Neurospora crassa OR74A: one gene and its partner. The protein of the gene in region 2 purifies or fractionates together with the protein of the main gene of each other region. This does not show direct contact. Links are inferred from orthologs where the notes say so. Each region holds a gene or a part of one and is shown on either strand. Other genes may lie near its edges.

What was found.
Region 1: the proteins of NCU06409 (region 2) and NCU08323 purify together in Saccharomyces cerevisiae (affinity purification with mass spectrometry; 4 studies listed by BioGRID). This does not show direct contact. The link is inferred for Neurospora crassa OR74A from reciprocal best matches to the Saccharomyces cerevisiae genes KRI1 and ENP1.

What each region holds. Positions count from the first base shown.
Region 1 is NC_026504.1:2,402,042-2,405,950, reverse strand, and holds NCU08323 (bystin), read right to left. Parts: upstream 2,780-3,909; 5' UTR 2,616-2,779; coding exon 1,996-2,615; intron 1,935-1,995; coding exon 1,806-1,934; intron 1,743-1,805; coding exon 1,570-1,742; intron 1,502-1,569; coding exon 1,283-1,501; intron 1,229-1,282; coding exon 1,088-1,228; intron 1,012-1,087; coding exon 851-1,011; 3' UTR 552-850; downstream 1-551. Other genes in the region: NCU16789 (hypothetical protein), read right to left, coding at 1-37, 333-408; NCU08324 (DNA-binding protein HGH1), read left to right, coding at 3,139-3,159, 3,230-3,379, 3,448-3,561, 3,635-3,909. UniProt on the Saccharomyces cerevisiae protein: Required for normal export of the pre-40S particles from the nucleus to the cytoplasm.
Region 2 is NC_026503.1:1,301,558-1,305,466, forward strand, and holds NCU06409 (ribosome biogenesis protein Kri1), read right to left. Parts: upstream 2,501-3,909; 5' UTR 2,392-2,500; coding exon 220-2,391; 3' UTR 24-219; downstream 1-23. Other genes in the region: NCU06410 (GTP-binding protein YPT52), read left to right, coding at 3,067-3,141, 3,210-3,273, 3,334-3,905. UniProt on the Saccharomyces cerevisiae protein: Required for 40S ribosome biogenesis. Involved in nucleolar processing of pre-18S ribosomal RNA.

The DNA of each region.
Region 1 (3,909 bases), on a different chromosome or scaffold from region 2:
ATGTAATCGCTGTTTATCTGCCCAACGGGGGAAAGTACTATATTGAGGTTGAGGTGGTGTCGGGATTCTTAGGCGAAACGCCAGAAAGCAGCGCCGAAAATCCTGATCTTGCGGAAATACTGAGTAGAACTTGGTGTCTCGGGGTAAGAAAGCAATCTCAAGAATAAATAGGGAAACGAGAGGGGCGGAGTGCTTAGAATGTTCGGGTTGACCGGGTGTTAGGAAGAGAACACTAGAAACTCGTATGGTAAAAGCACCTAATACGGGATGATGCCATCAGATACACGAGATATCGAAGTAGGCGAGAGCTACATTGCCTTCTTTCCCTTTACACTGTTCTCTCAGGATTCCGACAACGTGGCAGAGGATCGCGGTTGCCTTGGACTTGGAAAAATGGGAGAAGGGCATTCCAAGCCAGATTGACGCAACAAAGAAGTCAAAAGGCAGCTTCCTTCACATAACTGAAAATGATTATTCCAAGGCTCCTCGACAATTCCTGTTGCTGTACCGGGTATCTTGAATTTATAATTTCGTGCACTAAAGCATTACAGGTCGTCAACAATTATGTTGCTGGTTGGTCAGCACCACTAAGATACAAAGGGTAGTACATGGTGACTGACTTGGCATGACCACTTCCTCTTCAAGCGGCGTGATGAGTAGTAGCCACTGTCGAGGCGTGACATAGTATTATCAAAGGGGTCAATGTCTAAGGACTGCCCCAAGCCACCAAGGTCACTAAACAACACGACTCCCATCTCTATGCGCGTACCAGGTAAAAATGAGCCACATGTCCTCGTTGCATACCAAGGGTTCATCGTCTATAAGTCATTACCGGATCACCGATGTTTCTTCAAGCGTCCAGCATCGTGTCATCGCCATCAAATCCGGGTTGCGCGACAGGGACACCACCTCCGCGACCTGCGAGAAGTTCTCGCCTGATCTCGGGCGAAATCTTGTCATGGCCGTGAGTTAGGAGAAGATCCAGGAGAGCCTCTCGCTGGTCCTCAGTAACTACACAAAGACCGCGGTTAGTACTCAAAAATAATAGGGACGCATAGTGAAACAGCGACGGAAGAAGCAAACTCACTGTTCGTCTTGTATCTCTGTGCAAATGAGAGCATGCACTGATGGAAGATGACTGGTAAAGCGTTGGGTGCCATATGCCCGCCGGTGGCGAAAGCGGGATACCGAAGAAAGTGGAAGACGAGGGCATCGAGCGCTTGGAAGGCTGTATTACAAAGTCAGAGAATACAATCATTGGCACGCTAGGAATTGGACTTACGCAAGGCGTGACGTTTCTCAATCAGAGTCTTGAGGAGGAAATTCGTAGCGCTAACGCAGTCGAGGCGCTGAGAAGCCTGCGCAGAAGAAATTTCGCACAAGCCCTTAATGGCCATACCGGAATGAACAGCCGGAATGGTGACCCGGGTCAAAACACCGGCTACGATCTGCGCCTCACGCAGCGAGCACGTTCCGGAAGCCGCCAAAGGAAACAAGAAGCCTGCCAACGGTTAGCTGGGTTGTCCCTTTTGAGCAAACCTGACTAAGCGTAGGCAGTAAATAACACACCTTTGAAGAAACCACCAGGCTTGTAGAGGGCCTTTTTTAGGGAGTTGAAAAGATGGACATTGAGCTTCTTGGTCTCGTGAATGTCCTCGCGGACGCGTTCTAAGATCACCATCTCCATAAACCGTTGAAGAACAGCCTCCTTGGCGGACGCAAATATCCTGGTGGCCGCGTAGCTAACAATCGCAAATGTCAGCAGCGTTTCTCTGGCTCCCGAAAACAGGAAGAAGCAACCATACCAGGCATTGGGAGTCCAGGACTCGGGTTGTGTAATGGGCAAGATGTCCTCCCAGTGGGGGATCTGAGGAAGGACCTTGAAAGGCTTGGGAAGCGGCCCAGATTTGTAGCGAGAAAGAATCATGCCAATTCTGCGAGAAGGAGTCTGTCAGTAGTCTGCCAAGAGGGTAACAGAAATAACGGCCAGCCTACTTCTCAAACACTTCCATCACCTTTGGGGGGATCTCGTAATCCTCATCAATTGGGCCAGGCTCGTCGCGGTACCCGCCTTGGGGGCCGCCGGCTTCCTTCTCTGCGATCTTGGCAAGAATAAGGTCCGCCAGGTTCACGCTCTGACCCTGCTCTTCTGCCCCTTCTGGCTTTCCATCCCATCCGTGTGTTAGGAGCGGGTCCTCGTTCATTGTGGGTGTGATAAACTGGTTGAATGTCTCGAGATCGGTGGCGTCGACTTCGATTTCCTCTACCTCCTCCTCCTCTTCCTCGCCCCAGGCCTCGTCGTTCTCAAACTTGTCGTCTTCGTCATCGTTGCGGTCGAATCTCGATGGATCGAACTCGAACGCCGAAGGAGCAGATCCGGAGGCTGCGTTTTGTGTTGTCCGGAGGTTCTCCTCCTCCTCGATGAGGCTACGGCTCATAGCCAAAATGTTGCGCGAAGCCTTGGCGTCGACATACTTTTGCTCATCTTCGTCGTTGGCGGCGCGAGTGTTCTTGCTCTTTTTGCCGGAGTTGTTCTTAAGGACGCCGGTAGAAACGAGGTCGGCCTCGAGGGGGTTGTGGCGCCTCTTCGACGTCGCCGCTGTTGTCTTGGGCATCTTGAATGGCGGTAGGGTTGTGCAATCGGGGGAAGAGTTGATGATACGGAGCTCTCCTGGTTGTCCCCTCTCTTTGCGATGTCGACTTGGCTGCACACGGCAATTGGGGATATTTTTTTCGGCGACCCTTGGACAATTTGTTCCCGCCGTGGAGAAGTCTGGGCACTTGAAAGGCTTGCGCTACGCTTGTGGTTGGTCACTTCTTTGCTGTGTGGGCACACTTTATTTTCTGATGCCAGGGCGGTGAAAATGATAAGCGGTACAATACCTCTTATCGCTTATCGTCTAGCTTGGACGCGCCCGGCGGAGCAGCGATAAACATTTTATTGCCCCGCATTTTCGTCACTGTGCCCCTCTTCGGTTGCAAATTCCTGGAATTTTGTTCCCTGTGTTTACAGTTTTTGCAGCTTGGCCCACTGCATGAATAAGAGCAAGGGAAGTCGCGACATCATAGCCTCGCTCGCCACGGTTACGAGCTTATAGCAAGTCCAATACAACCATACATCCAGCTACCATTGATAACATGCCGACCGAACTTGAAGAGGTAATTCTGCCAGAACCAGTGCAGTGTCAATGTCAGTGGACAGACAACTAATCGCTATAATCGCCTGAAGCTCGTGGGCTTCATTGCCTCGCCGAACGCCAACATCCGCCTTCTCGCGACAGAGAACCTGGTGCCCTTCTCAGCGTCTCAGCCCGCCCTCTTCAAGACCGACGAGCTCACCCCCATCAAGCATCTCAAGTTCTTGATCCGCGACCACCCGGTAGGCCCAACAGACTTGTCTTGTTTGCGCCCAAGCAGCTTCAGCTAAGACGTCGGTACCATGTGCAGAAAATCGCCGAGCACGCCCTAACATGCTTGATCAACTTGACTGCCGAGAAGGATGTGCTGGAATACGTCGCGACCGATGATCGCTTCCTTGGAATCCTCCTCGGGCTTCTTGTCGTATGTGTATCCATTCTGAGCTCCTACGGTGCGTGCGCAGCAAGGACTAACCGCTTCGATCCCGTTCCTATAGGAGCCCGAGGAGGTTAACGCCAATCTTATGGCTATGTTGCTGGCAAACTTGACCAAGTGGGATGGACTCAAAAGTCTTCTAGACCGGAAACAGCCCGCTCCAGAGAAGCTCAAGTCCGACGATAGGGTCATTAACCAACTAATGGACCTCTTCGTCAAGGGCGCCGACGGGACTTACAACAAGCACGCCGATTACGACTACCTCTCCTACGTCTTTGCCGACCTTTCGAAACATGAAGAGATCCGGCACTACTTTGTCAACAGACAGGACTACGA
Region 2 (3,909 bases):
AACTGAGTAGGTAGCGAAGACGACGATGAACTCCGAGATGAGAGGAAGCATCGAGGATTGGTATAGCTAATTCTAACTTTGTATGATTTCTCCGTAACACCGCGATGCAATACGCCTTCTAAAATAGACTAAACGATACAAAACCCTAAACAGAACAAACAAACGTGACCGCCACTGCTTGTCCAACTATACTGACAACCGAAGTGGCAACGAAGCACTCTAGGCCTCAGCCTTCTCACTGTCCTTCTTGTTCTTGCTTCTCTTCCTCTTCTTTTTCCTCTCTCCCTCGATGATATTATCCGCTCCCCGTTCACCAGCAGCAATCTCCTTCTTCTCCTCCTTCTTCTCTTCCTTCTTCTCCTCTTTCTTCTTCTCGCCACTCTTCTTGTCCTTGTTCTCACCCCTCTTCTTATGCTTAATCGCACCCTCATCCTTCTTGCCAAGGGGCGTACCATCCTCGTCCAGCGCCTCGAACCCAAAGGTAGGACCAGTCGCTTCGAACTCCTTGCCAAACGTCTCGCGACGCCACTGCCTGAGACGGGCCTTCTTGCCAAGCTTCTTGCGTTCCTTGCGCTTCTTCTCGGCGTCGCGGAAAGTAGCCAGCTTCTTGAGGCCGGCGAACTCGTTGAGCGCGGCGTCCGAGGGCGCCAACAAGATATCGCGCGCCGTCATGCCGAACGAGACGGGCGAAGTCTCGCGGTAGCGGAACGGGAACAGGTTCTCCTTGTACTTCTTGTCCTTGGGGGCGGAAAGCGCGCGAGGAGTGTCGAGTTCCATCTTGGTGTCGACCAAAGCTTCAAGCTTGGCTAGTTCCGCCTTGGCTGCCCGCTTGGCGGCTTGCTTCTCCTTCTTGATGTCGGCGGTGGTCTTGCGCTTCTTGGAGGGACGGCCTTCATCTTCATCGGCGGAGAGGTCGGAGCCGAGGTCGGCGTCCTCGTCTTCGGCTTTTTGGTCGTCGCCGTTGGGCTTGGGGAGGTCTAGATCGGAAAGGACAACATCGGGAGCGTCGTCGAAGTCGGGGATGATGTCCTTGATGTCGATATCGTCGTCCCACTCGGGCTTCTTGGGCAGCTTCTTCTTCTTCTTCTTGGATTTGCCGTCCTCGTTGTCCTCGTCGTCCTCCTCGTCGCTGCCGGACACGTCGCCTTCTCCCTCGGCGTAGTACTCCTCGCCAAACTGCTTGCGCATCTCCTCTTCCCACCGGTCGTTGTCCCAGGCGTCCTCGAGGAACTTCATCCACTCCTCGTCGGACAGCTCCTTGCCGGTGAGACCGGCAGCCTTCTTGATCTTGGATAGCTTCTCGGCCGCCTCGTCAATCTTGAGACGGCGCAGACGAGCACGCTCCTCCTCGCGCTGCTTCTTCTCGGCCTCCTTGCGCTCCTTCTCGAGCTGTCTCTGCTTCTTTCTGCCCGTGAGCTCCTCCTTTCTGACGGACTTGGCGTTGGCCAGGTTACGCGAGTACGTCTTGAGCAACTCGTTGCTCTTGTTGGGGTCCTCGAACCGCATGTTGTAGGCGTGCTCGAACTCCTCGGCCATCTCGGGGAAGTTGTCCTCACCCTCGTCCGACTCGAAAGCCTCCCAGCGCGAGCCGTCGGCGGGCGCCCAGGCCTTGGACTGCATGAATTTGGAAAGGAACTCCTCGGGGTTCTTGTCAGCGTTCTTGACGTCGAGCTCGTTAAGATCGATCGCCTTGGCGCGCGACGGGTGAACGCCGTTCTCGGTAGGCGCCTCCTCCTTCTTGACGGGCTTGATGAAGGCGTCGTCGTCGCTCCACTCCTCGTCTTCGCCGACAGCGGCATTGATCTCAGACAGAATGTTCTGCTTCAGGTTGGCTTGTTCCTCGGCATAGGTCTTGGGCTTGGGCGCGTCATCTTCGTCGGCACCGATGTCACCGGCCATGTACCTCTCGCGGTGGTAGTCGCGCAGGGTCATGGGCTTCTCCTTCTTCTCCTTGACGGGCTGGCCGTCGGCGTCAATTGGCGTGTAGAAAACGGCCTCCTTGTCGTAGATGCGGGGGTCCCTCTTCTTGATAGCTTCTAGAGTGGCGTTGATTTCGGCGTCGAGGTCCTCGGTGACAAGGAAGCCCTCATCGTCTTCGGTCTCGTCTTCGGAAGAGTCCTCTTCGTCCTCGTCTTCGCCTAGCCCACCTTCCTTCTTGGACTTGAACTTTTCCTCGAGACGGTGGAGTTCCTCGCGCTTCTTGTTGTGTTCAAAACGGCGGGCGTACTCCTCATTGATCTTCAAGTCGGCAGCGGTACCGAGGGTGGCACCGCCGTCCTGCTCGTCTTCGCTGGAGGCATCATCGTCGAACAGACCCTTTCTAGGCACAATGGGATCGGTATTGGCGCCTGTGACTCTGGCTTTCGCCGCTTTTGACTTTGGGCGAGGCATCTTGAGGTGGGCTAGATTTGAAGATGCTAGGGCGAAGGGGTGGAAAGTCAATCCTGGCGCATAAAGGATGGAAGACTTTCGTTGCGACTTTGACGCCCCCAAATTTTCGAAGTGAACTTTTTAGTGGGGACCTTTTCGAAGTCCAGTCCCCGGGCTACAGCTGGCGGTACGTACTTGTAGTCCAATTTGCCTGCCACGAGATTGCGCACGGTTCACAAAGGCATACATATGTGGCTATGAGTCTTGGCATGGAGGGGAAGTTGGAGTCCACTCACAGCGCAAGCGAGGGGGGACATCGAGGACATGCGACGCCTGCCCGTGGCCCGACCGAATGCCTGCTGGATCCCGGCGAGCCTGGCTTTCCGACTGGAAGGGAACTAACTGAATGAACAAGCTCCATCCATCCATTTACTCTCATTGCTGCCGTCTACCTATCACGTCACACCTCACTCCGATTCCCAACCCATCAACGATCCATCTTCAGACATCTTTTGTCTTCCAACAGGCAGCCACCCAACGTCCTCCCTTCCACAACTGCACTGCTCTGTCGCTGTCGCATTATCAAAGATAGCCGTTCTTGCTATTGTCCCTTGCTGTAGTTGCTCGCTGCCGCAAGCCCCGCCGTTTCCACAACCCATCCACCCAGATTTGTAGCAACAATACACTTCAACGACAATGGCCGATACGAACGCGCCCAAGCCGAGCAGCAGCGTCAAGCTGGTGCTTCTAGGTGAAGCTGCTGTCGGAAAGGTGCGCAGTCTTCTGCTCCAAAACCACCATGCTCGAGAAACACATGCCTAACACAAATCGTTCCACAGTCGTCGCTCGTCCTCCGATTCGTCAACAATGACTTTCAAGAGAACAAGGAGCCCACGATAGGAGGTTAGTTCCTGAAGTCATGACGACTTTCTTTGCACCAGTTTAGCTGACACTTTTTTGCAGCCGCCTTCCTAACCCAGAAGTGCAACCTGCCCACGAGGACGATCAAGTTCGAGATTTGGGATACAGCAGGCCAGGAGCGCTTCGCCTCTCTAGCGCCCATGTACTACCGCAACGCCCAAGCCGCCCTTGTCGTTTACGACCTGACGAAACCTACTTCACTCATCAAGGCCAAGCACTGGGTCGCCGAGCTCCAGCGACAAGCGTCTCCCGGCATCGTTATCGCGCTCGTGGGCAACAAGTTGGATCTGACCAGCGACTCGGCCGGCTCTGCCGAGGCTTCCGGAGGTGGCGACGACAATGCGGAGGATTCGGGCGACGCACGCAAGATCTCGACGGACGAGGCCAAGGCATACGCCGAGGAGGAGGGTCTCTTGTTCTTTGAGACTTCGGCCAAGACCGGACATAACGTTACTGAGGTTTTCACAGCCATTGCAAACGCCATCCCCGAGACGTCGTTGAAGAGCGCGCGTGGGCCTGGTGCCTCGCATGCCGGTGTCAGCCGCACAGAAGAGCAGAGGGTCAACCTTAACGGGCCGCGGGATCTCGATGCAAAGGAAGGTTGCGCCTGTTAAGGTA